Linked DNA regions of Mytilus edulis. The protein of the gene in region 2 interacts with the protein of the main gene of each other region in a pairwise test. Links are inferred from orthologs where the notes say so. Each region holds a gene or a part of one and is shown on either strand. Other genes may lie near its edges.

The links.
Region 1: the proteins of U3 small nucleolar ribonucleoprotein protein MPP10-like (region 2) and U3 small nucleolar ribonucleoprotein protein IMP4-like interact in a two-hybrid assay, tested with the Drosophila melanogaster proteins (2 studies listed by BioGRID). The link is inferred for Mytilus edulis from reciprocal best matches to the Drosophila melanogaster genes CG13097 and CG11920.

What each region holds. Positions count from the first base shown.
Region 1 is NC_092344.1:30,347,974-30,364,017, reverse strand, and holds the start of U3 small nucleolar ribonucleoprotein protein IMP4-like, read right to left. Parts: upstream 6,007-16,044; 5' UTR 5,897-6,006; coding exon 5,894-5,896; intron 3,033-5,893; coding exon 2,924-3,032; intron 2,560-2,923; coding exon 2,476-2,559; intron 1,776-2,475; coding exon 1,666-1,775; intron 1-1,665. Other genes in the region: pre-mRNA-splicing factor ISY1 homolog, read left to right, coding at 6,257-6,259, 10,056-10,078, 11,592-11,646, 12,413-12,521, 13,086-13,198, 13,761-13,822, 14,889-14,944.
Region 2 is NC_092347.1:2,502,311-2,517,814, reverse strand, and holds the start of U3 small nucleolar ribonucleoprotein protein MPP10-like, read right to left. Parts: upstream 6,111-15,504; 5' UTR 6,052-6,110; coding exon 5,978-6,051; intron 1-5,977. Other genes in the region: glucose dehydrogenase [FAD, quinone]-like, read left to right, coding at 6,875-7,001, 7,980-8,188, 12,802-12,991, 13,467-13,595, 13,938-14,059.

The DNA.
Region 1 (16,044 bases), on a different chromosome or scaffold from region 2:
AAATGAAAACTACTACCACCCCCCTTTTTTGGCAATTAGTCCAAAACCTGACATTTCTTTATACATAATTTACAAGAAGTGTAAGGGAGGTTAATCTGAACATACCCAACATTGTATTGTTTTTTTAGTTACCTTCCTTACACAGCTTTTAAATTGTCTTAATTGTCCATTGACCAAAAACCTATTTTTTCCCCTTTTTTTGCCCCTAATTCCTAAACATTTTGAGCGATAACCCCCAAAAGTCAATACTAACCATCCCATCATGGTATGGGAACTTGTGATATGATTTCAGAGAGATTCGTACACTTAAGCACAAGTTATTGTTTGATAAATACAAAAATGCTCATTTTGGAGCCCCTTTTTGGTCCCTAATTCTTAAACTTTTGGAGCCATAACCCCCCCCCCCCCCCCCCCCAAAGTCAATACTAACCATCCCTCCATGGTAAGGAAACTTTTGGTATGATTTCAGAGAGATTCATACACTTAAACACAAGTTATTGTTTGAAAAATTCAAAAATGCTTATTTTGGGCCCCCTTTTTGGCCCCTAATTCCTAAACATTTTGAGCCATAACCCCCCAAAGTTAATACTAACCATCCCTACATGGTATTAAAACTTGTGGTATGATTTCAGAGAGATTCATACACTTAAACACAAGTTATTGTTTGAAAACTACAAAAGTGCTTGTTTTGGGCCCCCTTTTTGGCCCCTAATTCCTAAACCTTTGGGACCATAACCCCCAAAATCAATCCAATCATTTTAACTGTTGTATTAAACATTGTGGTACAATTTCAGAGCAATTGAAATACTTTTACACAAGTTGATATCCTGAAAAAAGAAAAATACTTCTTTTGGGCCCCTTTTGGGCCCCTAATTCCAAAACAGTTCGGACCAATATCCCCAAAATCAATCCCAACCTTCCTTTTGAGGTATTAAACCTTTTTATAAAATTTCATAGAGATCCATTCACTTAAACAACCTAAAGTTATAGTCCGGACACCAAATGTGTATTCGGACTACACAGACGACGACGACAAGGTTTGACGACGACATCATACCATTATACGAACGCAAAAATGTTTTGCGGTCATATAAAAACTAATGAGGGTTAGCTTCTCTCAATTAAATAAAATCCAATGGTTGATTACTTTGGTTTTAGCTGATGGTGGAGACATTTCAAATTCAAGACGCAGGAATTATAGAACTTCAAATGGAATCTTTTAAGATGATGTAAAAATTTTGTTAAACTTTTTAAATAAGTTTTTCATATTATAAAAAACAGAAAAATCAGGGTCTGAATGTTCATATATATAGAATAAGATGCTGTAATTATGATTTAGCACATGTATAAATTGTTCATTATTTTGAGTATCAAAAAATAATCCTGCATGTGGCAAGTAGCAAGTGAGCTTAACTTTCAACTGGCTATGATTGTCAGTGTTCCTACTAAAGGTAAATGGTTCTCTCATGCTTCCTTTAACAATTAAAATTGACTGCAACAAAATAGCATAATAGTGCTGAAAGTTGTGTAAACCACCAATCATAAATACATTGGGAAATTTAGGATTATTTCTTTACTTTCTTTAAATTAAAATTATAAATATATGCAATTTTTTCCTATCCATATTCATAATCAAGAGGAAAGGGTTGAAATAAAATAACAAACCTTTGCAAACTGCTTGAGTTTAGAACTAGGATCTCTGGATGTGGTGACCATGATTTTAGGATCTTCGACTCCAGCCCATTTATACTCATCATCAATGTGAGTGGTCAGACCTTATAAAAATAATACATATTTAATTTAAATCTCTAATAAAATGATAAAAGTTTTTATCTTCTTATCTTTTATACTAATTGTTGATAATCTTAAATTGGTATAAAAGTCATCCATGAGAAGACTTTTGTTTAAATTTATATTTTTTTTTTCTTCTAATATAATCTTTCGCCAAATGACTTGTAAGTACAAATGTACAATTATGTCCTATTCTAAACTGTTTCTGAAGGACAATATTTGTGTTTATTGTGTTTACAGTTAAGGTGGATTTAGGACTTTCTAACATCATCCAATAATTTAATTTTTGATGTAATACTTCTGATTGGCTGACGTTGTTTTGTTAATCATCTAATAGACATAATTTCGTCATGTAACTACGTCATCAACGTTTTTTCATCATTTACTCCTGTTTAAAATGGAATTTAGAATTAAATTATAAGAAATAACTGTAATATTTTTTCTGTTCCTTTTGAAATAAAATAACAAATGTGGTACATACTTTAAAATAACCTGCTACGCATGTTATTCAGTGTGCATTTTCTATGTGATTTCTTCATAGACAGAAAAAAATATTAGTCCTTCCTTAAATAGTCATATCTTCTAAGAAATAATTTACTTTTGTATTTCATTTTATCAGGTTTATTAAAAACAAAATGCTAAAAAATCAGATTTTCTTAATTTGTAAATATAAAATGATAATACCATCAGCCCCTTTATCATCCCAGTCCAAAGTCTTCTGAAGGTCGACAGCATCTTTCTGTAGATCAGTGGGTATCTGATTGTTATCTGCAATATAAGTGTCAAATCTCTGTAAGATGTATGATAACTAAAGTAGTAGACAAATCACTTTTCTTTTGATTGGTAATATTAAAGAAAACTTGAGGCCGATTCTTTTTTTAAGGGGGATAATTTATATCCAAGAAAACAATCACTGTGTTTTAGCATTACATGAGTATAATAACTCAGATGTTTATTTCAAAATTTCTTTAAATAACTTATAAGATTTTGTCAATCAATATTTCATTCAAACTTAGAAATAAATTTAAATTTAAGGACAACAGAATATAATTCCAGCCATTGCAATATTATTTTTGCTTAAATGAAACCATCAACATTTTTTATACTACACAGATATTTTGTCTATGCTTACCATCTAAAGCATTCTTTAATTTTTGCTTTTTCTCTAGAATTGTTCTCTCTCTATCCTCTATAGATTTTCTGTATATATACTCTCTTCTAAGTCTAGCTTGTCTTCTTAACTAAAAGATACATATAAAAATATATAAAATACAGGATCAAATTGAATTCTAAATTTACAAAAAAGTATAGTTATTTTTTTTATATCTTTTTTTTTTCTTCGGGAAACCAATGTCATTAAATTCCCTTTTCTTAGTGCCTGGATCAGCCAATTTATTTTACATGTACATGCTTTAGCTAAAAAAAAACATCATTAATTTATTTTTTCAATCTACATGTAGTAAGCCCAGACCCACATCCCAAAATCTAATTGCCCTCCACTAATTAACCAGTTAGCACTTTCATTTATACCCTTGAAATGATATAATTAATAAATTGAAGAAAATCTTAGAAAAAAAGGGAAGGAAGCCCATTTAAGGGGGTCTCATTGGGGGGGGGGGGGGGTTCTGATCCCGCTTACTGTTTAGTCAGAGATTCCTGTATCCCTCTTACACTATGTAAGTAAGCAATTCTCATTTTTTTGTAATTTCCTGTGTCCCGCTAGACTTCATTTCCCGTTTTCACGGCACAATAATTTAACTTGCACGCGTCACACATATAAAAAAAAAAGGCAATCCCACGTCACGCTTCCACCCCAATGAGACCCAATTTAAACAGTCATTTTACAGTCACTTTAAGTCATGTGACTTATTTGTATATCTTGCTTTGGGGATTATTTTTCATGTTTAAATGTATCTATTTTTTATGGTATGTTAAGTTTATCTCTTTCTACATGTACATGTTTTTTTACACGTTCTATGTTTTGTTATCAAGATATTTGTCAAACAAAAATGAGAAAAATTGACTTTTAGGGCAATAACTCCCAAAAGTATTTTGATAAGTTTGATCGAAATATGAAAGTGGTTAGATTATGACATTCTGAGGATTTTTCACTTACATTTGTACATGTATCCATCATAGTCCATCTATAAACAACTTTTTTTATTTACATATAATACAGAAGTCAAATGTATATACAAGTACATTTATTCCGAGGTTAAAGTCTTTATTACCAATGTCACCTGTTTTCCACAATATGCATTTTTTATTTTAAAACAATGTAATTGTATTTTAGGGTTTTGACTATATTTCCGGCATTCAATGTACATGTACATATCAAGGGGAATCAATGGAGAATATTTTTCTGACTGAAAAAAAGTAATAATTAAATTAAAAAACCTTTGAGAACCACTCACATATCCCACGGCCCCACATTGTCACTGGATAAACAAATCTCACCAGATTCCTAAGTTAAAATACTTATAACTCTACCATGCCTACAAATGTCAACTGATTTTTATTACCCCTTTTGCATTCTATGCCATTCTATGATGAAAGGAATGCAATTATAATTAATTTGAACCAACTGTTTACAAGTTTGATACTCTGGCATCACTCCAACACTTAGTTTGAATGACATTTTATTGAAATTTATCAGAAATTATTAGCCTTACCGGACGCAATTACGACTGGACACAATGACGAACGATTTTTAATGTTTGCCCCCTTATATTATATTTATGAATGATAATTAATAAATGTTTCTATTAATTAAAAACCCACTACATTACTTGTGTTTTCACGAAAAAAAAGTTCATGCGCACTTGGTTAATGTTACAGACGACGAAAAATTAAGTTTCGTAAATGTCAAAATAATGACTCCCTCTCTTGGAAATTACATGAATAAAGCATACAAGTTAGTGTAAATTGCCTTCTTTTGTTATTATATAGATAGAAAAATATCTCCTGAATCTGTTCATATCTGTGATACCCTTTATCTTGCCCAAATAAACAAAAAAATGAACCTTTTCTCAGACTCGGGTGACCCTGAGCATTGTCAAAAGAAAATAGTATTTTTATTGAAAAGTCCCGAGAACTCCGAAAGTAAAGGCTAAATATAAATTAAAATCATAGGTTCGCTAACTAAAAAGAGATTTCAGTGCTTCTTAGACGAAAGAACTTGCATAAAAACAAAAAATCTGAATTATTTCCTTTTCAAAGAATTTTTTTTGTCACTAATTTCGTCTTCAACTACTGCTGAAGAATTTGAAGTAAAATACCATATTACACTTCTTATTTTCTTAGGAAATGTGTTTAAGATAAGATTAATGTATGTTTTATAAATTTAGATCGTTGTCATTGATTTTTTCTGCCAGATATATAAATATTGTGCCGTTCGTAATTGCGTCCATATTGGGCTTGCTAGACCCATAAAACCAGGTCATGAAAATCTTACCAAAGTATCCCAACGTAAATAGAAAATTATGTGTGTTACAATTCAAAATGAAAAGCATTCATACATCTTTAATTCTATGGTACAAACAATTCAAGAAAAGTATTCTACATAGAAAAAAATTATTAAAGTTCAAAAATCGTTCGTAATTGTGTCCAGTGAGGCTAGTATAATAGCAAGTACTTTTTTAACACATGTCAATTTCCAATCCATATCGTGTCTTTAATAACTATAACCTGATGATGAGATCAGCTACAATTAGGTAGTGTCAAGCCCTGACAACATATATATTCCTGGTTGAGGCAAACTTTATAAGTTACAGACAAGCTTATAGACAGAGGACAAGGTTTAAACTTTTAAATGTCTCTTCTGCAACACTGACAACAGAAGTTTATAAATGATGACACAAAAGTGAAGTCATTGGTTCACCTGTTCACTAGAATCTGTTAACCAGTAAGAAAAAATTGGGGTATGAGGTTGTTGTTAGTTATAGTATATATAATTTACATGATTTACTAGTATTTAATTTCTACTTCTTGTATAAACATTAGCCTTTTCTTCTTTTCCTAGGTCACAGGGTACAAATATCAATATCTATATTCTGACTAAATGTATTGCGACATCGTGTTTGATGTCTTGGTTATCCCTTACCATTTTGACTTTCTTGTTTTTACTACATCTCTATATTAAAGATAAATACAGCAATACAAAAACACACGTGTTGAACAAACGGAAGTAAACAGACCAATGGTAAAACCAATTTATGCCATTATGATTCCGACCATATAAACATTTTTACAGTACTAAATTTTAAATACGTTTACTTATTTATCCCTCAATAAATTTTAAATATATTCCAATCCTTATCTATTTATTCAACTGTTTGATTTTGATATAGGAAAAATGAAAATAAATGATGTTCGATACTGAAGAACCATCTTTTAGCTCAGCCATATTTATCAAGGCACTTCCGGAAATATTTTTCTGAACGTTTGAAATGTGAAACACTGAAATATGGTAATTTTATCTACTGATATGTACTACAACTTTTGAAACATAACTACAAGCCGAATGTTTTCATATCTTAAACCAAAATAATGTTTAATTTAGATAATGAAAGTGTTGTGGCGTGAAATTGAAAAAGTCCCTTTTTTTTTCCTTGCTGTACATTGTATCTTATTTTAAAATTTCTAGTTACTTTGGAACCTGGTCAAATCGGCACCCAAAGTAGCTATAAATGGCACCCGATAAAGTTATTTCGGCACCCAAAATAAACAGGTTATTTGTAATTGATATACTTCTTCTTCCCGTTCTACTTAAAGTGTAATTGACTCGGGCGCATCTCAAACAGACAGGAGGGCACTCCTCTGGCCAAAAATAAAAGTCCAGGAAATAATCCTGACAGTATTTATAATAAAATATGATATTAATTACATCTATGTACACTGGTTATCCTGCTGTCTATTTCAGATGTGGCTGGGTCCAGGGGATGGTATTCACTCTGGCCCTGAAGTCCTCTAGGGATCCGTACTCCACTACAGATTCGGGGAGTTTATTCCATTCTCTAGTTGTTCTTGGAAAGAATGAGTGGTAGTATACATCCCTCTTCACTTTAGTTTGTCTAAGTTTGTGGTTGCCCCTGGTCCTACTGTCTCCTGTCGTGTAGTACTTGGCTGGATCAATGCCAATCATCTGGTGTTGGGTCTTGTAACACAGCACTATACTCTGTTTCCATCGTCTATGCTGCAGTGATTCCCATTGGAGTTGGTCCAGTAGCTTAGTTACACATCCAGGAGAGTTGTCCTGGTAGCAACTATAAACAAAGCGAGCTGCTCGTCTTTGTACCTGTTCTATGTCACGTATGGTGGTGATTTGGTGAGGATCCCATACTGGGGAGGCATATTCCAGGGTTTGTCTTACAAGGGTAGAGTAGGCTGTGGCTTTTGTTGCTGGAGTACACCTACCAAGATTTCTCCGTAAGAAGCCAAGTGTCTTTGAGGCTTTCCCTATGGTCTGGTTGATATGGGTTGTCCAGTAGAGGTCTTTGTTGATAGTGAGCCCCAGGTATTCCCGCTGTCTTTGGTCTCTAATGTGTGTCCATGGAGTGTGTAGGACATCTGGTGTTGATGACGTCGTCCTGAGTGGAAACACATTTGCAACTCCTTTTCCCATTTTTCCAGCAAGGTTAGGTCTTTTTGCAGCAAGTCTGCATCTGCTGTATTCCTAATGCGGCGGAAGAGTAGACAGTCATCAGCAAACAGTCTAGCGCTTGATGTTGTTGCTTCAGGGAGGTCATTGATGTAGGCCAGAAAGAGTAAGGGGCCCATCACAGTGCCCTGAGGTACTCCAGATACCACGTCAAGAGGGTCCGACTTATGGTTTTTCAAGGATCACAGACTGAGTTCTGTTAGACAGACACTGTTTAATCCATTCGAGCTGGGAACCTCTTACCCCGTAATAGTCCATTTTACGAAGAAGTCTGGCATGTGGTACCTTATCAAAGGCCTTGGCGAAGTCTAACAGGATGATGTCTGTCTGGTCGCCGTCCTCCATGTTCTTAGCTATTTCATGTATAGTTATTACCAGCTGAGACTCGTATGACCGTTTGGTTCTAAACCCATGTTGTTCATCGCAGAGTATGTTGTTTTGGTCAAAGTGGTCCATTATAGAACTGAGTACTATGTGCTCTAGCAGCTTACATGAGATGGACGTCAAGGAAACTGGACATGATATAAGATCATATAAGTTCAAAAGATTAAAGTGATAATTACTAGCGTCAGGAACATGCTGGTACCATCTAGAGTATACAGTTACAGTATTAACAGTATTTGTCAGCCATTTATGTATATCCCAAAGGTTTCCATTAAGGGCATATGATACAGTTTTGAACCTGTATAAAAATTTACAAGTTGATGAAAATTTGCATATAGGCTATTTTTTACCTGATTAAATCAAATTTGTCATAAAAAATATACCTTCATGTGCTATTTTTTGAGTAAAATGAGGTCGACATTTTGTATATTTGCTCAAAATTCAGATTTGTGTCCGTATTTTCTTTTTCGAAAGAACGACGTAACTTTTTTGCTTCAAAAGATAAACACAAATTGTTTTTTGTTAAATAATCGGTAATTTCTGTATTTTATAAGTATCATTGAAAATTATGCAATTTTTATTCCGAAATAACTCTATATTTATCAAATGTTCATGAATAGAGGAAAAAACGTCATTTTTTGCTGCATGTTTATCAAAATAAAAAAAATTGCGCTATTTACAGTTTTATAAAATTTGGGTCACATAATCTCCTTGCAAAATGTAACAAATTGCTGTTTTAAAAATAGGAGTCCATGCACTCGTTTTCAAATTAAATCAGTTTGAATGATAAAAATCAGTCGAAAAATGCATCTTTTCCCGATATGTCATAGTTTGACGTCGCGAAAATAACATTTTACGTTAGCAACGTCATTACCTCCCATGTAACTGTATCGTATGCCCTTAAAACTAGTGACAGTTGTCAGAAACTTGCAATAAATCTCAGGGCTGTATGTCTGAATTGATATGTTCAAATTAGAACATGAAAGAAAATTGGAATTTTAAAATAATAAATACCATATAAACATGCTTCAAATATGTTGAACACAATGATTATTTTTTCAATGTTTCTTCCCAATTCATATGTTAAAAAACAATTTTTATAATACCACAAAAAAAATTTTGAGTCGTATAATGGTATCACGTCGTCTTCGTCGTTCTCATCCAAAGATGCATTTAGTTTCCGGACAATAATTTTTTTTTAGTGAATGGATCTCTATAAATTTTTACCAGAAGGTTCAATACCACTAAAGGAAGGTTGGAATTGATTTTGGGGGTTATGGTCCCAATAATTTAGGAATTATGGGCCAAAAAGGGGGCCCAAAATAAGCATTTTTGTAGTTTTCAAACAATAACTTGTGTTTAAGTGTATGAATCTCTTTGAAATTATACCACAAGTTTCCATACCATGAAGAGATGGTTAGTATTGACTTTGGGGGTTAATGATCAATTTTTTTTTGGAATTAGGGGCAAAAGGGCCAAAAAAGGGGGAAAACTAGGTTTTTCTGGTCAAAGGACAATTAAGACAATTAAAAGCAGTGTAAGGGAGGTAATTCAAAAACATTTAATATACAATGTTGGGTATGTTCTGATTAATTACCTCCTTTCACTACTTGTAAATAATGTATAAAGAAATGTCCGGTTTTGGACTTATTGCAAAAAAAGGGGGGTGATAGCAGTTTTCATTTTTTTTCCAAATTTTTGAAAAGTTTGAAGAAGAAATCTTTTAATTGCACAATGTTGCACAATAGATTTGTAAGATCTTGACATTTTTTTTTGTGTCAGAAACTCATATTATGTCAAAAATTTGATCACAATCCAAATTCAGAGCTGTATCAAGCTTGAAAGTTGTGTCCATATTTGCCCCAACTGTTCAGGGTTCGACCTCTGTGGTCGTTTCAAGCTGTGTCCTGTGGAGCACCTGATTTTGCCATTGCCTTGGGTCCAGGCCCCATTTGAAAAGTGTAAGAAATTTCAGTGTACTGCTTTATCAAATTACTAACAAATATATACCGAGTTTTTAAAGATATACCAAATATGAACCTTAAAAATTGTAAGTTTTGCAGAAAAATACAAAAATATTTAAAACCAAAATTGACAAACTATTCTGAAATGAAAATTCCTTGCTGTAAAATTATTTCTTTAAAACTATTTTCACTTTAAAAACTGAACTGTAGTTAAACTTTATAACACTCTAAATCTAATTCTTATCTTCTATTATCAGGCTAGAAACAGTGAGAAGGCCATGTGAGTATCAAAAATGTTATTATGTCTCCATAACTACATCATTATTGGTTAGGATATATACATACATGTTATAGAAAAACAAAGTACATGGGGTATCCATCTATGACACAAAATTGATACATTTAATAACAGCAAAAAAACTCACAAAAAGCAAAAGAACAGCACTTTTATTGCTGTTCTTAGTCTGAAAGTTAAAGTGAGGTCTTCAACACAGCACAAAAAACACGCTCACCTCACTGCATTTTCAATACCGCCAGCACCAGCTTGACTTCTTTGCAAAAATAATTTTGATAGACTTGGTAAAATTTAATGTCTGTCCAAAAACCTTGTTTTGTGTAAAGTCTCTACATTTGAGTTTGTTTAATCTGAATCAATTAAAATTTATCTGTGTTCATTTGTATCTATCCAAAATAATTTACACTATATATCAATTTAGGATATATATGTTGTGTACAAGATGTAAGTTTGTACAAATTATAATTTGTACAGGGTTTTTGTACAAGTTATAAGTTTTTTTTGACACCTACCTTCTTGCAACAGGTGATACGGGTTTATCTTATAAAATGTACTAGTGTCATGTTTTAAATTTAAAAAAAATACACTTCAACCTAACATTTAGTGCTATTCTCCTTGTCTTCAATCTGGAGATGAGGATACCTGAATGGTTCAAATTCTAATTTTATTTTTTTCCTTATACCATATTCATATCCATACAAAATCTTTATGTGGTCTTGTAATGTTTTTGTATCAATGCTCAGTATTAGACTGTATCATGAAGTTGTGAAAATATGACAGAAATATGCGAAGCAAAAGACTGTGTGCTTGCATCATCAATTTTTGTTCAGCAGGTCACACTGATAACTTTTACAAAAAATCTGTACAAATTATAATTTGTACAACAAACAGGCTATTATTTGAACTTGGAATTATTTTTAATTATGGAATTTGCATAATTTCTTGTGTTTAATTTTTTTTTATAAATTCCATGTTTATTTTGTATTATGATCTTTTGAGCGGTTAATAACACTTTCCATACAATGTATTTTGGTTAGATAGTGTTGTGCGCGGCACAGTACATTCTATTGAAAATAGACTATTTTCTTTGTAATAGAAAGTGTTGTGCGCAGCACAGAACATTTCAGTACAGAATAATCATGGAATTTATTAAAAATTTCAATAACAAGAAATCAAGCAAATTCCATAGTTAAAAATAATTCCAAGTTCAAATAATAGACTGTTAACATTACAAATTGTACACAACATATACATTGCAATAAATGGTTGAAGTGGGAATTAACATCAGAAACTGAAATAATTTTAGCTGGCATTAATTGCATTATGAGTTGATAAAAAAACATACAGATATTTCTATTCCTATATACAAGTACATATGCAATTTGTTATGCATGTTAAACAGGATGTTCAACTACATGTATGTGTAAGTAAAAAAATGTTATATTATTTTGGAAGAAAAAAACTTTTTTCACCTCATGATATTTTTTTATTGTTTCAGGACCACCTTGGCCAGGTGGCGGGCTGCTCATTTAGAAGGAGGCATAAAAGATCAGGTATGATGAGCTGTATATTCTGTTGGGTTTCTTTTATTACATAAATAAATCAATATAATAGTGCATTCCACCTTATCTACCTTTTGTACATCTAACTACTGGTAATTCAGGGTAACAGTAAATAAACTATATACCCAAAAAAATTCGAGCTAGTCAATATTACAGTTTGTTAAATAGATATTTTTACAAGTGAAGGATTATTTTAAAAGTTCCAAAATTTGTCTTTTACACTCGTTCACACTTTTATCATGAGTACCTTGGTTATCAGTTTCAGTCCTAAGTTGATGTGTACATACTGATTTTACTAAACATTATTTCGTTGAGAAATTAATAGATGTGCATAGTAAGATAACATAAACTAGTAGATTGGAAATAATGAATGGAAGATAATTCATGCTGAATTTTAAATACAAACATTTATTAATCATATATAGATATAAGAAGATGTGGTATGAGAGCCAATGAGACATTCTCCATCAAAATCACAATAATGAATTTGTAAAAGTAAACCATTATAGGTCACAGTACATTCTTCAACACGGAGCTGTGGCTCACACCAAACAGCAAGCTATAAAGGGCCCCAAAAATTACTAGTATAAAACTATTAAAACGGAATTACCAACGGTCTAGTCTATATAAAAAACTAGAAATACTTATGAACCACATCAACAATTGACAATTTCATGTACTAAACATCAGATTCACATTATGAATGTTTTTCTTAATACAACTAGCATTAATGCTGTAACAATTTTATTGTCTTCAGGAGAGACGTCCATATTTAGCCACAGAATGTGATGAACTTCATAAGTGTGAAAAATGGAGAAGACAGATCATTGGAGAAGTGTCTAGGAAAGTGGCACAGATACAAAATGGTAAGATAACAACATGAATTCTAAATAGATTTCTTTTTTTATCAAATTCAAAAATGTTACCAGTGCTAGTCTATACAAAATCTATTTTTATTGAAATTCAATGAGGACTGTCAACTAAATTAGAACCAAAGTGGCATAAATCTGACGAAATTTACAATAGATGGTTTTCCTGTCGTTTAAGAAAAAGTGTATGAATGAAGAAGTGAGAATTGACACAAGATTCCTGTCCAATCATATAACATTAAAATTCAAATCAACAAGTTGAGCCAGGAGTTATTGCTTACTATTGAAACCCCTACTTTTTTTTTTGATTTTCAGGAAGTACATGTATACCTATAGATCTAGGTAAAAACTCATCACACGGTATAGATCATTACTAGATAAATCAAGCGGAAATATGTATAATGACAATATCTTCCATAGTATTTTCTAATCTTAAAGATGTTTGGTATTTTAGATATGGGATCATTGCATGATATGAATATGATAAAAAACATTCAATGTGCTTTTTGTAAATTTTTACTCTCAGTTAAATAGTTTCATACTACTAATGACTTTTTGCAGCTGGTTTAGGAGAATTCAAACTACGTGATTTAAATGATGAAATCAATAAATTATTACGAGAGAAAGGTCACTGGGAAGATAGAATCAAGGAACTTGGAGGTGCAGATTACAAAGTTAGTAATTTTTTCAGCAAAAATATGTATATTTTCTTGTAGCTCATGAAGTCTTCAGCATTTTATTTTTGACAGGAAATATCCATGAGAGTAAGTTAAATTGAAAATAGAGAATGAATTTGGATGTACATGAGACTACTCTATAACCATAATGTAATAATTTGCGAGCATTTAAAAAAAAATCTAAATTGACATAAAAAACAAAAATATTTCCTCTCACATACATTTGATTTCTTAACAAAAATCATTATCAGGGACAAAAAGTTACTCACAAATAAAGTTAGTTACATGTGGGAAAATGTATATAACCCACTTCATTGTCACATCTGCATTGGTTTTGTTTGACGGGAAAATCTCATGTAATCTTATCGTTCTTTAAATATTAATTTGTTGTGGAAAGCAAATAACTCAATTGAAAAAAAAGCAATAAGTATGTAAACTGAATAGGTATCATTATAAGAAATGATTTTGTCTTTAGCATTTTATTGTTTTGTATGCATTAAAGTTTTTTTATATGACTAATAAAACTAATAATTCTCATTTCTTATATATTTTAAAATAGAATGTTGGACCAAAAATATTAGATACAGATGGTAAAGAAGTTCCTGGAAATAAAGGCTACAAGTAAGTTGGTAGCTACTTATCTTTTCATATTCATAAAAGTAGATATTGGGTATATATTAATGAGACAGCAACTTTCCAAAACAAAATATATTTTACAATACTCAATAGATGTTTCTAAAATGGAAGTTAGTGATTTAATGGCATCCCTAGAATAATAATTACATTAGATGTATGTTTCATTATAATATTTTATTCTGATTGGCTAACTGCACATCACGTGTTATTCCGTAAGCAGTTGCAATGCTCAATACAACTTTTCACTCATGATAACACGTGCTCCAACAATAAAGTGCACAGGTGAATTAAATGATAAAATATATAAAATTCGTGTTTTCATGATCATAGCTAAAAAATGTAATTATAAGTATTGAATGCTTCTTTTTGTAACTTTATAGGGTTGTAAAAGCGTTGACCGTGCGTACATTTTTAGAATGAAACGCTTCCGCGCTTCATACAAAATGTACTTCGGTCAACGCTTTTACAACCCAATAAATTTACAAAAAAAAAGCATTCAATTCTAAAATAAGTGCAGCAAATTAGCAGTCAGTTGTGCCACTTTTGATTGAAATAAGAATGTCAATACTTTATACCACTGTTTTATATCTTATCAAGATCAAAACATCACAACGGCAAACTGGGAAAAATTCCCATACTACTGTTTCATTGAAACATGGGCTTTGAAAATGTATTAGTTCTTAACCCAAAATTGATACAGAAGAACTAAATCAAAATTATACTATAAAATCACCTGATTTGTTTCTACGTGTTTCGTGAGGGATTTTACTTGTAACACCTCCATCTTGATATAATCTATGGTCAAGTGACATTACCAAGATGTTTATATTTCATAAAGACAATGTGTTTTTGGTTCAAATCATATCAAAGTTTCTGAGGTAATCAAATATCTGGTGTGTTTAAAATAACTTTTCAGATTGCTGTTTAGATTTAATCAGTTCTAAGTATACAATGGGTACGGTATCCATATCATTACAATAAGTCAGATATAAATGTAAAATTCATTGATGTCATTAGCTGTGCAAACTAATAACTTCTTTTTACATTGTAGATACTTTGGTGCAGCAAAAGATTTACCTGGAGTACGAGACTTGTTTGAACAAGAGCGTAAGAAATTTTGATATATTAGTTGGTTTAAACAGATCACTGAGAATTGAACATGCATGTTTAAAAGGATTTGACAACTGTGATAATGAATTGTTCTTGTTTTCTGCACTTGTGGAAAACCATTGTATCTTGAGAATTTATCATCATATTTTGTTGAATTGAAAATTGAGCTAGATTTACTGTTTTCAAGTTTATCTTAATGTTATGTTGTTTCTCAAAAAAACATTTTATTATATACAAATGAAATTGAAAATGGAAATAGGGAATTTGTCAAAGAGGTAACAACCCGACCATAAAGCAGAAAACAGCTGATGGTCGCCAATGTGTCTTCTACACAGTGAGAAAATCACACACTAGGAGGCAGGTTGACAGAAACCTTCATTAAGAAAATAAAAGATTTTTATATGACCGCAATAAATTTGCGGTCGTATATTGGTATGACATTGGCGTTGTCATTCGAAGACACATTGGTTTTCGCACTATAACTTAATTTTAAGTTACTAGAAATCTATGAAATTTAAACACAAGGTTTATGACCACAAAAGGAGAGTTGGGATTGATTTTGGGAGTTTTGGTCCCAAGAGTTTATGAATAAGGGGCCAAAAAGGGGCCCAAATAAGCATTTTTCATGGTTTTTCGCACCATAACTTTAGGATAAGTAAATAGAAATCTATGAAAGGAGTAGGTCCAGTAAGGGCCGATTTTGGCCTCAATTTTCAAGTTCATCTGACGAAATATTTTAGACACTTTTAAAACACTTAAGTGTCTATTTCAATTGATTCAATTAGTTTTTGTGAAAGATTTTAACTGATCTAGTCATTAAAAACGCTCCGATTCAAGCTTGAATATGAAAAATCTATCAAATTTGCTAAAAATCGTCACTTTTCAGATGGTCTTTGTCAAAAATAAAAGTGGCCGCATCCGTGTTCATCCTCAACCTTTATATATATTATGTATTATCATCAAATACAACTTACGTTTCAATATTATGAATGAACACGAATGCGGCCACTTTCATTTTAGACAGAAACAATCTAAAATTTAACTAAAATGCTAAAATTGTGAAGATTTCAGTAATTTAGCATGACTTTATGATGCTA
Region 2 (15,504 bases):
TTAATTTAATTGAATGAATTTATGAATAATGATGTCCTTATAAACACGAGTAAATGAATTAAAATTTTTAAATAAGAATCGGTGACCTTGAATTTTTGAAATAGATAGTAATTACCAATTGCAGTTATATAAATGGGTCGTTCAAAGCGTTTTTCTTTTTTTTTTTAAATATTCAGGAAGTTATGTCCTTATCAAAATAATTTAATTATCACCACGTTCTAATTCCTCAGCTATTTGAACGAAAATATCATAAAATATAATTATGGTAGGTATTAACCTTAGTCATTCATAAAAGATTCAAATCATACCATTGTCATATGATAGGGCTCTCAAAAGAAAAAGCACTGATGGATTGTCCTAGAAGCATATTTTATGAGAAAAATAATGGTCTATAAGCAGTTACATTTATTTCATGTTTGAAGCGGTGCAAATTTTTTAATTTAATTTGACTTTTACCAAGAAATGCCTTGTAGCAACGGGGAAGAGTAAGTCTAATGTCAGAAAATCGAAATAATGTAATTTAACAGTAAGGAAACAAATAACGGACTTTGGCAAAAAGGAAGAACGCTTTTGATATATATCCTTTTCTCATTACATCAAATCTTTTTTCAATAAATCATCCTACAACAGCTTAAAAGCTGGAAATGCCACCGATTTCGTGGGTGTGTTTTAGTGTTGTAAAAATCTTATATTGAAAAAATGACAACTCCTTTGAATAATTGAATGTACATGTACAGAAAGACAATCGAATGCCGTTTCTAGAGACAACCACGAACTAAGTATCAACTTCGTGTCATAATTGCACATGCTTGTCTCTTCACATACAAGTAAACGCAAATTTCCTAATAGCAAGTTATTTCGTAATTGCGCCCGCTCATATCGGAAATAGGACAAGAAAGTATAAGATAGTCATCCATAATGGTCGGTTAAATTCTCTACGATTTAATCAAAACAATGTGGTAAAATGATGCAGTTTTTTTTTCTTAAATTATTCATCACAACTCAAGACCATAACTTAAATTTAACATTTGATAAGCAAATAAAACAAGCTGACAAAACATAATGAAAGTTATTGTGTACAAAAGCATTGGCGGATCCAGGGGGGGGGGGGGGGGGTTCGGGGGTTGGAACCCCCTTTTTTTGGCCGATCAATGCATTTGTAGTCAGACATATAGTTGGAACCCTCCTTTTTAATATGACTGGATCCATCCCGAAAAGTAAATCCCTTGTACAATTGAAATTTCAAAAAAAAATCATTTTACATGGTACGTGTACACAAGGAATTGTATATTTAAATATCCTTGGTGTACAGTACTAGATAATCTTCAACATATTAATTTTGAAACCGAAGTCAAAATTAATAATTTACGGTGTTATTATTTCTGTCTTTGCACATGTCAGAATTAATCAGCATGTGGATATAAATTTTAAACTCTTAATTTCATATTTGGACGGATTTGTGTATTTCAATCAGATTAGGGGCATACATTGTTAACAGGATGTATAATACACCTGACTGCATTTTTGATGGCACTTTTACCTGTGCACACCTGGGTCAAACAGCTAGGTCCGGAATTGCGTAATGTCACCAGTTTATTACCCCGCAGGAAGTCACTAGAATACCTGAATGTGACACTATTACACGACCTCTGGCAATAATTCAAAAGATCGTCGGTTTTCATATTAGAGTTAAGTACCCGAAATGAATAAAATCTATTACAGATAAAAGACTTTTTTTGGCATAGTATTTCGAAAAGTTGAAAGACGCTACAGATACCTTTTAATCTCATTAGAATAATTTTATGCTTTTACAACTTCCAAATTAGTGTCCACCCTACTAGATGTATTCCTATCATAAATTTAGGAAGAAAAATTACTCCTGCGATTGACCATAAATCATTACAAATTTCGTTAGGCTAGCTGTCGACATTTTATATCCCGAAACTGCTTAGCCTTAACTTGTAGGACCACGCAACTGGGTTGACCTAGTAGACAGATAAAAAACATAACAAGGGGGCGGTAAGATCTATTAAGTTAAGGGGAGGGGGGGGGGGGGGGGGGGGGGTTAAACAGCATCTATACTACATGTAAATAAAGTCTTATTTTTAAACCATTATTATATTAAACAAATGAACCTTTAAATGTTTTACGTAATTTTTAATTTTTTATGTACACATAAAATTAGTGCACCTAAAAAAAATATACTTCATTGAACTGGTGAATTTACGACAGAAAGTCACAAAACAAAACGTCATAATTCAGTTTCGAGTTTATTTTTCTTTAAACGAGAAAACGTATAAATTAAATAATTCTTTTTTGGTTTGTTCTTGAAATATTATTTTTAAAGCAAGTTTTAAACAGAAATTATTAAATTAATATAAATGACATCACATTATTGTTATAAAATCAAAATGCCAAAGTGGCTAGGTACCTTTTATGGCTTCATTGTGCCAAGAAATATATCCCCTTTCATGATTGAAATCAAATATCTTTTTATTTTTAAGGCTTATAAACAAGTTCATAAACTTAAAATTGAATAAATGTAATAACTAATATAATATTTGAAGATTTTTTTCTTGTTTATATTCAAAAATTATCAACAAATTTGTTGTGACTTTTTGTCTGTGACTTTTTATCCGTTTACTAAACTTGTAAACAACAAAATCTGTAACTAATGCATGAATGCCGAAATACTGAACTACATTAATCTGACAATATCTTTCAACCAGGCTTGGAACGAAATAGCAATAAAAACATTCATGAGAAAAAAATCATAATTACTATCAAATTTCCAACGAAACAAGATGCTTCAAAATGGTCTGCACACACTTTCTTGAACTTGTGAGTGAAGGTGGTTGGTGTTAAATTAAGGTTAATCATCCACGTCTGGTACAACTCTTTCTTTTTTGCAGGATCTGGGAAAGTGTGTAAGCTTATGCCATGGGAACTCCGAGTTGTACATTCGTACGCTTGACAAGTCATTTTGATACTGAATATACGATATGCCATGCTTGTTTTTTCGCTTTGTGGTATTCAGATATTTTATTCAAATATACTCACCACGTGACTATTTGTATCGGAGATGCCGTCAAAATGGCGATAAGTCGAGAAGTGATAGTGGGATTTTAATTTTTATTTTAATCACTTATCTAGAAGAATTGAACAATAATTTTAACAAATCTATGATTATTTATATCAAATAAACATAATATAAAATTTTCATTTTTTTGCGAAGTTTCCCTTTAATGATATATATATGAGTAGTCAAAATAATTATTACGTCTGGCAAGGCTTTTTTAATTTTATTCTGGGACACCTTTCTATGACCGCAAGGCTATGTTAATTTTTTTCTGGGACGCCTTCCTAAGAAAGCTTTCCTACGAACTTCGTAGGAAGACGTCACAGAATAAAAAAAATAGCCTTGCCAGACGTCATAATTATTTGGACTAATACATGAGATATTGGATATTTTTATGCATTATTTAAACCAGTCACAGGGGCTTGTTTAGTGGGTCAGACGAGGTTTTACTGTCAATGGCGATCGCTATCCTGATCGCCATTGACAGTAAAACCTCGTCTGACCCACTAAACAAGCCCCTGTGAACCAGTTGAGCATTTTACAGGATTGTTTGTTTAATGCTTTTTAAACTTTACTGAAAAAAAAACACCTTAAATTTGCTTAAATTATTTGGCATGAATGTTTGATTTATTGAAAGGGACTCATAGTTTTCCATTTTTTTTTAATAATTGTCTAATTGTTAAAACAACAGCTTGGGTAAGGGCTTCGTTGTTTACCTTTATACACAACAACATAATTTCACTTTGGTTTCGTTGCTTACCTATAAACACAACAACATATTCACTATGTACTTGGTAACAGTTATTAATTAATTGAATAGAAAATATTATAACAAATATTATTGGATGCCGAATTGACGTCAAATAGGTGCCGATTTGACTAGATGCCAATTTAACCAGGTTCCGACTTGACTTGTACGTTTCAATTCCTCTGCGATCGTTTGCGGTATTTTCTTGAGAAAAACCTATTTTCCATCATCAAAGAGAAGAAGAAACTGCTTGAAAATGATTCTGGAACGCTTCATGATTGTTAAAATAAGTTAAATTCACTCAAAAAACAATTTTAAAACTTGCGATGTTTAAACAGGAAGTTTCAAAAGCACGTGTAAAAAAAGAAATTAACCGGTGAGAGTGGAAATCCGTACATAACAGATATCACTATAGTACGACTTTGAAAGCAAAACAGTTCCATCCTTTTGTAAAACAGTCTTTAATATACCTATCACATTAATGTTTGAAGGGTCTTAAGCTTATTCAAACCATAAAAGTCGGTATGAAACACCAAAACGGAATGAACAATAACCGATTACGTTTTGTAGTTTACAAATTCTAAACTGGTTCCCGTCAAACTACAACACTTTGTCCAAGTGTAGTGAATACAAGCAGAAACCAGTTAGTTTGTAAACTGGTTCCTGGCTGATTACTACACAATGACCTCTCATGCATAATTAATGATAACACAAGCAGATTCCAGTTTGTATAGAAAATAGTAAATACGAAACCAAGCGCGGTAGGCAGAGAAATGTAATGAAGTTCAGGTCACCAGTTATGGAACAATGACTGCGTCATTTTCCAAAAAACTGTACGTTGATCAAATAATGTCAATAAACATTCCCCTGTTAGTTTAAACAATATTCATTCAGATAAGTCAACATTAAACGATATTGTACAATGAAATAATAGTAAGGATTCAGAAACAAGCAAGTTGCTTTTACAAATCTGTCTGCTCTTTGGTCAGGTTGTTGCCTCTTTGACACATTCCCCATTTACATTCTCAATTTTATGATGTAGTCAATCCTTAAAGTCATAATATAGCATTTATTTATAATTTTAAATACACATAATGGTTGTCAGATTGGTGTTTTTAAAAGGCAATTTCAACAAAATCATGACTTGTGCTATTTCTTCAATCTTGGTGGTTGGTTTTTTAATATCAGTGGAGGTAGACGCCCAGAGAGAAGGACTAACCTGCCGTACATTAGGGAAAACTGACAATTAAATAGTCAATAAAGATTGGAGTCAAGTGCACCTGCCACTGAAAGGATTTTATCTCACAAAGTCAAGAGTTGACACATTGACAGGCAAAAAATGGATTCTAGTCAAATCGGCAGCTGAAAGAGTCAAACAGGCTGCTAGTCAAATAGGCACCTGGTTAAATCGTAACTGATGAAGTCATTTTGACACCCATGGTAAATGTGTTGAATATACATGTATATATATATGTATTTTTCCACATTTTCAATAGTGTATTCAAGGTATTACTATTTGTTTCATATGCTTTTTTTAAGCAGTTGAGTACTTTGCAAGATTGTGGATTTAATGCTGTTAAAAGTTTAACTTGGGAAATTTCTCAAGATTAAACAACAGCTTGGGTAATTGACATCAGAGTAGTTTGGACTGTTCTGTTCTGTTCTGTTTTTGTAGTATTCCTCCACTATCTTGGAGAACCGTTGTTTATACAACGTAATAAGTCCACTACTGTTCTTCAATTTTGGACTGAAACACCACCTAATCGTCTGGGGAGCTACTTATTATTAAAATAAGATATAGATCCTAGAATTAAAATTATTATTATTTTAATTCCTCTAATGAGATCATTAATCCTCCGTCACTTTCACGGTTATCATATTGGACTACTAAATCATGTAGTCCAAATAATTATGACGTCTTGAAAGGCTATTATATTTTTTTTTTTCTTTGACGCCTTACTTCGACGTCGAAGTAAGGCGTCAAAGAAAAAAAAATTTGATAGCCTTTCAAGACGTCATAATAATTTATTTGGACTACTAAATCATGGTGTTTTCATTTTCATTTCGTCCTCTTTCACAGGTCGCACATGCCCCATGTTAATTTAACAGAATAATTTAAACTGATATATTGAAGAACCCGAGAATATTACCTTAAAAAGTCCTCGGGTTTTGAAGTCAATGATGAAAACTCTTTCAATGCAGTGGTCAAACTTCTGTGATCCATGCTGCCTTTGCATTCGGAACTCGATACTTCCGAATGTACACAAATTATCTCCCCTTTTGCGAAAAAACCGAGGTCAAAATCTAGACCGAAGCCGAAGCCTTGATCAAAGGTTGTAAATTGTACGTTAATAAGGTACCGATTTTCCATTTTCTAAGTTCACCTGGTCCATAAAACTGTGTAAGACATTGACATCACTTGGCGTCCGTCGTCTTTTGGTGTTGCCAGTGTTGGTTAACACAACATTTTCATTTTATGGTAGAGCTGTTTAAATTTATGACAGAATTAGCAATAACATGAAACACTGGCTCCGGTTACATGAAAATGTAACAATAAAAAAAAAAAAATATAGTACGTTGGAGACTAATTGCTGGAATATAGGGTTTGGTAAGGATCCGATCAATTACGAATTTTAACAATAATATTTGTGTCTACGGTTACATTATGTTATACACCTTATCGCTAATCCTGGCTGACAGGGCCGCTTGAACTTTTTTTTTGCCAATGCAGTATATAAAAAAATTATACAGTCAAGCAAAAACTCCATATACCTGATTATAATCAAATTCCTGAGGGCAGGATGGAATTAAACAATTCTATCATGCTTACAAGGGGAATTTGCCAAAATAGCAATGGCTATATCGATCAGAAAATATTGCACATCTTTATAACTTTTTTATTCTTAATTGCAGGAACAAAACATAACCTTTGCCAGGTTATTGAACCTTAAATGCTACCATTGCAACTGCCAATGAACATGATGAAACACTTATCTTCTATTGTAGATATATCCACCTAAGTGTATTTCAGAGAGGCAGTGTTCAACATGTGTTTTTCATGGATGCCTATAGCTGTGTTGGCTATAGCTGTCATTGCCGGTTATTTCTACTTCAACAAGCCATCAGATATCTACCTCAGTCGACCTCTCAACTCAACATATGACTATATTGTTGGTGAGTTCTTTTATCATACATATAAGAAGATGTGGTATGAGTGCCAATGAGACAACTCCCCATCACAGTCATAATTTATAAAAGTAAACCATTATAGGTCAAAGAAAAGTCATCAACACAGGCCTTAGATCACACCGAACAGCAAACTATAAGGGCCCTTAAAAATTACTAGTGTAAAACCATTCAAGCAGGAAAACCAACGGTATATTCTATATAAAACCAACGGTCTATTCTATATGAAACCAACGGTCTATTCTATATGAAACCAACGGTCTATTCTATATAAAACCAACGGTCTATTCTATATGAAACCAACGGTCTATTCTATATAAAACCAACGGTCTATTCTATATGAAACCAACGGTCTATTCTATATAAAACCAAAGGTCTATTCTATATGAAAAAAATATGAAATGGGGAACACTTATGAACCACATAATTGTATAGCAAAACAAAAGCAAACAAACTAAATGTGTATATAGGTTAATTAACTTATTTCTGTGGTCTACTCCTTAATTATCGAGATGGGTTGACATTGCCTTTTTTCTTATTGTTCATGTACCCCAGTAAAAATAAACCAGTTCTAACCAGTTGGCTAAATATTTGTTAAATCACAGGTTTACATAATTTTTATGTTTTATTTCTTGTAGCTTAATTGTCTGTTTGGAATATTTTTTCTAGGATATTTTCATAAAATATTTTGAAAAACAGATTCTACCACTTGACCTTATTATTTGAGTAAATTTTACCCTCTCCAATAACTTGAACAATCATGAATAAATACACATTATCAACAAGAAATTGTTCCAATAAAATCTGTATTTTTAAAATTGTTTAGATAAGTGTATGAGCTTACTCGTCTTATATAATGTATATTGTTTAGGAGTATGATTTGGAATGGATAGGAGAGGGCAAGATTGTGACCCTTTGCCAGTGATTTGTTGTGTTTTCCTTAATTTCATGATCATTTTGTTTCAGTTGGAGCAGGTTCTGCAGGAGCAGTGGTAGCCAATCGCCTGTCAGAAGACAAAGATAAATCGGTTTTATTAATAGAAGCAGGTGGTTCTGAATTAGGAATTCTAGAGTTTGAAATCCCAGCAGGATTTGTTGCCCTCCAGAGGAGTGATCATGATTGGGAGTATTATACAGAACCTCAAAAATATGCTGCACAGAGCATGATAGAAAAGGTAACTTGACTTGGAGTATTATAACTTAAAGACAAAAATATGCTTCACAGAGCATGAGAGAAAAGGTAACTTGACTTGGAGTATTATAACTTAAAGACAAAAATATGCTTCACAGTACATGATAGAAAAGGTAACTTGACTTGGAGTATGATAACTTAAAGACAAAAGTATGCTTCACAGAACATGAGAGGAAAGATAACTTGTATTGGAGTATGATAACTTAAAGACAGAAATAAGCTTCACAGAGCATGAGAGAAAAGGTAACTTGTATTGGAGTATGATAACTTAAAGACAAAAATATGCTTCACAGAGCATGAGAGAAAAGGTAACTATACTTGGAGTATGATAAATTAAAGACAGAAATAAGCTTCACAGAGCATGAGAGAAAAGGTAACTAGACTTGGAGTATGATAACTTAAAGACAGAAATATGCTTCACAGAGCATGAGAGAAAAGGTAACTTGACTTGGAGTATGATAACTTAAAGACAAAAATAAGCTTCACAGAGCATGAGAGAAAAGGTAACTTGACTTGGAGTATGATAACTTAAAGACAAAAATAAGCTTCACAGAGCATGACAGAAAAGGTAACTAGACTTGGAGTATGATAATTTAAAGACAAAACTATGCTTCACAGAGCATGAGAGAAAAGGTAACTATACTTGGAGTATGATAACTTAAAGACAAAAATATGCTTCACAGAGCATGAGAGAAAAGGTAACTTGACTTGGAGTATGATAACTTAAAGACAAAAGTATGCTTCCCAGAGCATGAGAGAAAAGGTAACTTGACTTGGAGTATGATAACTTAAAGACAAAAATATGCTTCACAGAGCATGAGAGAAAAGGTAACTTGACTTGGAGTATAACTTAATGATAAAAATAAGCTTCACAGAGCATGAGAGAAAAGGTAACTATACTTGGAGTATGATAACTTAAAGACAAAAATGCTTCACAGAGCATGAGAGAAAAGGTAACTATACTTGGAGTATGATAACTTAAAGACAAAAATAAGCTTCACAGAGCATGAGAGAAAAGGTAACTTGACTTGGAGTATGATAACTTAAAGACAAAAATATGCTTCACAGAGCATGATAGAAAAGGTAACTTGACTTGAAGTATGATAACTTAAAGACAAAAATAAGCTTCACAGAGCATGAGAGAAAAGGTAACTTGACTTGGAGTATTATAACTTAAAGACAAAAATATGCTTCACAGAGCATGAGAGAAAAGGTAACTTGACTTGGAGTATGATAACTTAAAGACAAAAATATGCTTCACAGAGCATGAGAGAAAAGGTAACTATACTTGGAGTATGATAACTTAAAGACAAAAATATGCTTCACAGAGCATGATAGAAAAGGTAACTTGACTTGAAGTATGATAACTAAAAGACAAAAATAAGCTTCACAGAGCATGAGAGAAAAGGTAACTTGACTTGGAGTATGATAACTTAAAGACAAAAATATGCTTCACAGAGCATGAGAGAAAAGGTAACTATACTTGGAGTATGATAGCTTAAAGACAAAAATATGCTTCACAGAGCATGACAGAAAAGGTAACTTGACTTGGAGTATGATAACTTAAAGACAAAAATATGCTTCACAGAGCATGAGAGAAAAGGTAACTATACTTGGAGTATGATAACTTAAAGACAAAAATAAGCTTCACAGAGCATGAGAGGAAAGATAACTTGACTTGGAGTATGATAACTTAAAGACAAAAATATGCTTCACAGAGCATGAGAGAAAAGGTAACTTAACTTGGAGTATGATAACTTAAAGACAAAAATATGCTTCACAGAGCATGAGAGAAAAGGTAACTATACTTGGAGTATGATAACTTAAAGACAAAAATATGCTTCACAGAGCATGAGAGAAAAGGTAACTTGACTTGGAGTATGATAACTTAAAGACAAAAATATGCTTCACAGAGCATGAGAGAAAAGGTAACTATACTTGGAGTATGATAACTTAAAGACAAAAATATGCTTCACAGAGCATGAGAGAAAAGGTAACTTGACTTGGAGTATGATAACTTAAAGACAAAAATATGCTTCACAGAGCATGAGAGAAAAGGTAACTTGACTTGGAGTATTATAACTTAAAGACAAAAATATGCTTCACAGAGCATGAAAGAAAAGGTAACTTGACTTGGAGTATGATAACTTAAAGACAAAAATATGCTTCACAGAGCATGAGAGAAAAGGTAACTTGACTTGGAGTATTATAACTTAAAGACAAAAATATGCTTCACAAACTAAGCATAAGCACATCAATAACCAAAAAAAAATACATAATAATATTAAATCCATTTAAAAAAAATTATGTAAAAATCAAAATAAAAAAAATACAGAACTCCAAGGAAAACTCAAATCTGAAATATTACTGCCACTGGAAGAAATATTACAATATTTGCTCAGAATGAAAAAAGGTCATAAAATATTTTTTTGCTAAACAGAACTTTTATTGTTGATTCATCATTATTTGTTGGATCCCAATGTTCGTGGTTTTTGTGGGTTACAGGTGAACCATGAATTCAAATGTTCAATGAATTACTCATTTTCTATAAGCTTTGTATGCAGAGATTGGGAAAACCATGAACTCAAATAACCATGAAAATGCTGGTTTTCCTTAATCCACGAAAATTGATACCCACAAAAATAAAAAAATCCCCAGTATTATAGTATTGTTCTTAATATAATATTTCTGGAGGAAATTCTTCGGGAATCATACTTATAAGCACAAAGAGATGTAGCACAGGGCATGCAAACACTTAGATAAACCAAAAGAAGGCAAGATATGAGCAAAACTGACTTGACAAGTAGCAATGGTAAAAATACAAAAAGTTCTTCACAAAAATGGTTAAATTGATTGACATGAAGATTTATACCAACAGTGTTCTCACTAAAAACAAGTCAATCCTGAACTCATATGAATGTCTTGACTCAAAATATTACCACTCAGGTCAGTCCAAAGATGCATAAAGATTTATTCAGTCCACCTGATATAAGAAAAAGAAGATGTAATATGATCACCTATAAGACAACTCTCTACCAGAGAGACGAAAGTTCGCTTCTTATCTAACCTAAAAACTTTGCTCTAAAACCAAAATCTAAATATCATATATATTGAATTGTAACATAAATTGGATTTTTTTCCTTTGATGTTTTTATGAAATAATTTGCTTAAAAAGTGTGGTGAGGGAAAACCATGGTATATTATATGCAAATTTATGTTGTACCATACTTTGCTAATTAAATATGCAACTCGACTAGAATCCAAAGGAAAAAAGGCGGAGCTTCATCCATGGTATAACATATTCATTTTCATGTTATTCCATGGCTGAAGCTCCACCTTTTTTTTTAAATGTATCCGCCTCTAAAATATCTAGGAAGCTGTAAAACATACTAAAAGGTCAAGATCTTCATTTGTTTTCATTTTATAAGAAAAGGCAATAAATTATGTGTACCACATTTAAAGAAATCCTTTTCAAACTATATAGGATTGTTACGAATTTCCTTAATTTTGGAAACAATTACTAAATGTTTCTTCTTTCAGTTTTGAAAAAAATAAAATGTAAAACTATCATTTCCTTTGCGAAAATGCAATTAAATTTCGATTTAAAAAGGGGGGTATCTATACAAAAAGGAATAAATATCGGCTACAAATATCTGTGAAAAAACATGATAAGGGGACGTACACTATCTACGCCCCTGGATCCGCCACTGTTAAAATATTGTTTTATCATTAAAATTGTGTTTTAATAAATAATCTAATAAAATAACGGAAGAAAAGCATTTTTCAATTAGATGAAAATTCTGTAAAATATGATTAATTTGTATGATACATTGAAAAAAACAAAAAAAAACAATTCTTACCGTCATTAGAATAATTATTTAATCCTTGTGGAATCCGACATTTTTGTTTACCTCAGTCTGATGACATTATGAAATTACCTGCGCCTACAATCATACACGGGGCGCAAAACTAAATCCGACATTTTCTTTACTTTCTGCAAATTCAGGGGTTCTATTACATGAAATATACAGACGATCATACACGAAGCGCAAAAGTGACTGGCTTGCGCGAGCTTCCATTTCATTGGATAAAACTGTAACGTGATCAATTTCCAATATTAGTTGAAGGTCTTGAAGCTGTCAATCATTTTATTTATATTACAAATTTTATATACCATGTGTCTTACTCATTAACATATTTAAACAAACTCATCCTTCGGATTCGTTTGTTTAAATATGTTAACTCGTAATAACCATGGTATATATAGTACTTGGTGAAGGGAATTTAATCTGATACTGGATTTTATTCTAAATCATCAAAATTATTCCCCTAGCACCTTAATAGTAGCAGCATTATGATAAGTTCCAAATAATACTTAGACTAAGGAAATTAGTGAAAGACAATATAATCTTACATGAAATGTGGAATTGGTGGAAGGGCCAATTTATCAGTGGCTGCTAGAAATTAAGATTTTCATACCATTCAAAGTTTAATTCAGTATGAATAAATTAACATAATGATTAATATATAATGTCAAAAGGTCATACTGGCCAAGAGTATGAATAAACTAACATAATTTTTAATATATAATGTTAGAGGTCATACTGGCCAAGAGGGAAAGTACTTGGAGGAACTAGTAACCTTAACAACATGGTCTATGTCAGAGGTAGTCGCCATGACTTCGATCAGTGGGAAACAGAAGGGTGTCCTGGATGGAGTTATAAAGATGTTTTACCATATTTTATAAAAGCAGAGGACTTCCAAATGGAGGAATATGCTGATTCAGGTGAATAAAACAAAATGAATTTGAGGGAATTCTGTTCCACTAATTATGGTTTCTCAATAATTTTGTAGGATTGGTCAAAGGAATAAAATCACAAATTCATAGTTTCATTATGCCTTCTATATAAATTATGCAATTTCAAGGATTTATATAGATATAGGAAGATGTGGTATGAGTGCCAATGAGACAAATCTCCATCCAAATAACAATTTATAAAAGTAAACCATTATAGGTCAAAGTACAGCCTTCCACACAAAGCCTTGGCTCACACCAAATAGCAAGCTATAAAGAGCCCCAAAATGTGTAGTGTAAAACCATTCAAACGGGAAACCAACAGTCAAATCTATTTAAAAGAAACAAGAAACAAGAAAACTTATGAACCACATCAACAAACGACAACATCAGATGGACATTGTTATGTGACAGGTCTACAACTGTATCAATGAGTAGTATGATAATTATAATGATGTGTTCACAGGTTACCATGGTAAGGGAGGCTACCAAACTGTATCAGAAAGTCATGTGACAGAGTTAAGAGACATTTACATGGCAGCATCAGAAGAAGCAGGCTATAAAACTGTGGATTGTAATGGCAAAGATATGATTGGTAATAATTAATATTTTTTTTTTAAATATAAAACTTTAGATTCTTATTTCAGCAAATACAGTTAAACCATTCTAAACTAACCCTGTGAAGATTTTAGATTTGTTAGACACATGACTCTACAGTTGAACCTTGTTTCAAACTCAGTTGTATGGAAAAATGGTCACTGAAAATTAAGATAAGATTTAAACTGATAGTCTTTTGTTTAAAGATTTTGGCAATTTTGAAATGGGGCAGAATTATGGACCTTGAGACATCAGATGTATCTAACCTTTGACCATTTAGTTTATGAAAAGTCATTTTTTTTTTATAATTATTCATTCTAAAATATAATTCTTTTTTTAGGATTTTGTAAGATGCAGGCATCCATTAAGAATGGCCAGAGGTGGAGTACTGCTAAGGCCTATCTCAGACCGGTCATGGAGAGAGAGAATTTACATATTAGTGTTAATTCTATCGTTACTAAGGTAAAATGTGTGGTGTGATTTAGAGGACTAAAACTAGAGTTAAGGGGAGGTACCTAAATTTTTCTTGGGTCAATTAGGTTAGCAGAAGAAATCTAGTACAAGCTGACATAAGCAATGTTGTCTTAATGATCCTCACTTTGATTAATAAACAGTTATTTAGTTGAATCTTTTGACCAAAACACTTACTTATAATACACATAAAAAGATATCATATCTGCCAACTGTCACTATTTGAGGGGGATTTCCCCCATGAAAGCTCCCAAATGGAAATTTCGAAAGAGCAATTTTGTCCATAATTTTAAACAAAACAGTTAATTTTACAATGTTATAGGCTTTAATTTCTCTTAAACTGAATTTTAATGTGCGTATTGTTATGCGTTTACTTTACTACATTGGTTAGAGGTATAGGGGGAGGGTTGAGATCTCACAAACATGTTTAACCCCGCCGCATTTTTGCGCCTGTCCCAAGTCAGGAGCCTCTGGCCTTTGTAAGTCTTGTATTATTTTAATTTTAGTTTTTTGTGTACAATTTGGAAATTAGTATGGCGTTCATTATCACTGGACTAGTATATATTTGTTTAGGGGCCAGCTGAAGGACGCCTCCGGGTGCGGGAATTTCTCGCTACATTGAAGACCTGTTGGTGACCCTCTGCTGTTGTTTTTTATTTGGTCGGGTTGTTGTCTCTTTGACACATTCCCCATTTCCATTCTCAATTTTATTTAAAAAGTATGAAGAAGCGAAAAAAAAACCCAACATAAAAATACATTTGAAGGCCCTCTTTAAGGTTTTGTAGGACTATAAGAGCCATCTTGCAGGCAAAACCCCCCATGGGTATTTTGAAAAGTTGGCAGGTATGAGATATAAAGATAATAAGTTTGAAGACAAAATGACCTTGATATTAGATAATAAGTTTAAAGACAAAATGACATTGATATTACAGATAATAAGTTTAAAGACAAAATGACATTGATATTACAGATAATAAGTTTGAAGACAAAATGACATTGATATTACAGATAATAAGTTTAAAGACAAAATGACATTGATATTACAGATAATAAGTTTGAAGACAAAATGACATTGATATTACAGATAATAAGTTTAAAGACAAAATGACATTGATATTACAGATAATAAGTTTGAAGACAAAATGACATTGATATTACAGATAATAAGTTTAAAGACAAAATGACATTGATATTACAGATAATAAGTTTGAAGACAAAATGACATTGATATTACAGATAATAAGTTTAAAGACAAAATGACATTGATATTACAGATAATAAGTTTGAAGACAAAATGACATTGATATTACAGATAATAAGTTTGAAGACAAAATGACATTGATATTACAGATAATAAGTTTGAAGACAAAATGACATTGATATTACAGATAATAAGTTTGAAGACAAAATGACATTGATATTACAGATAATAAGTT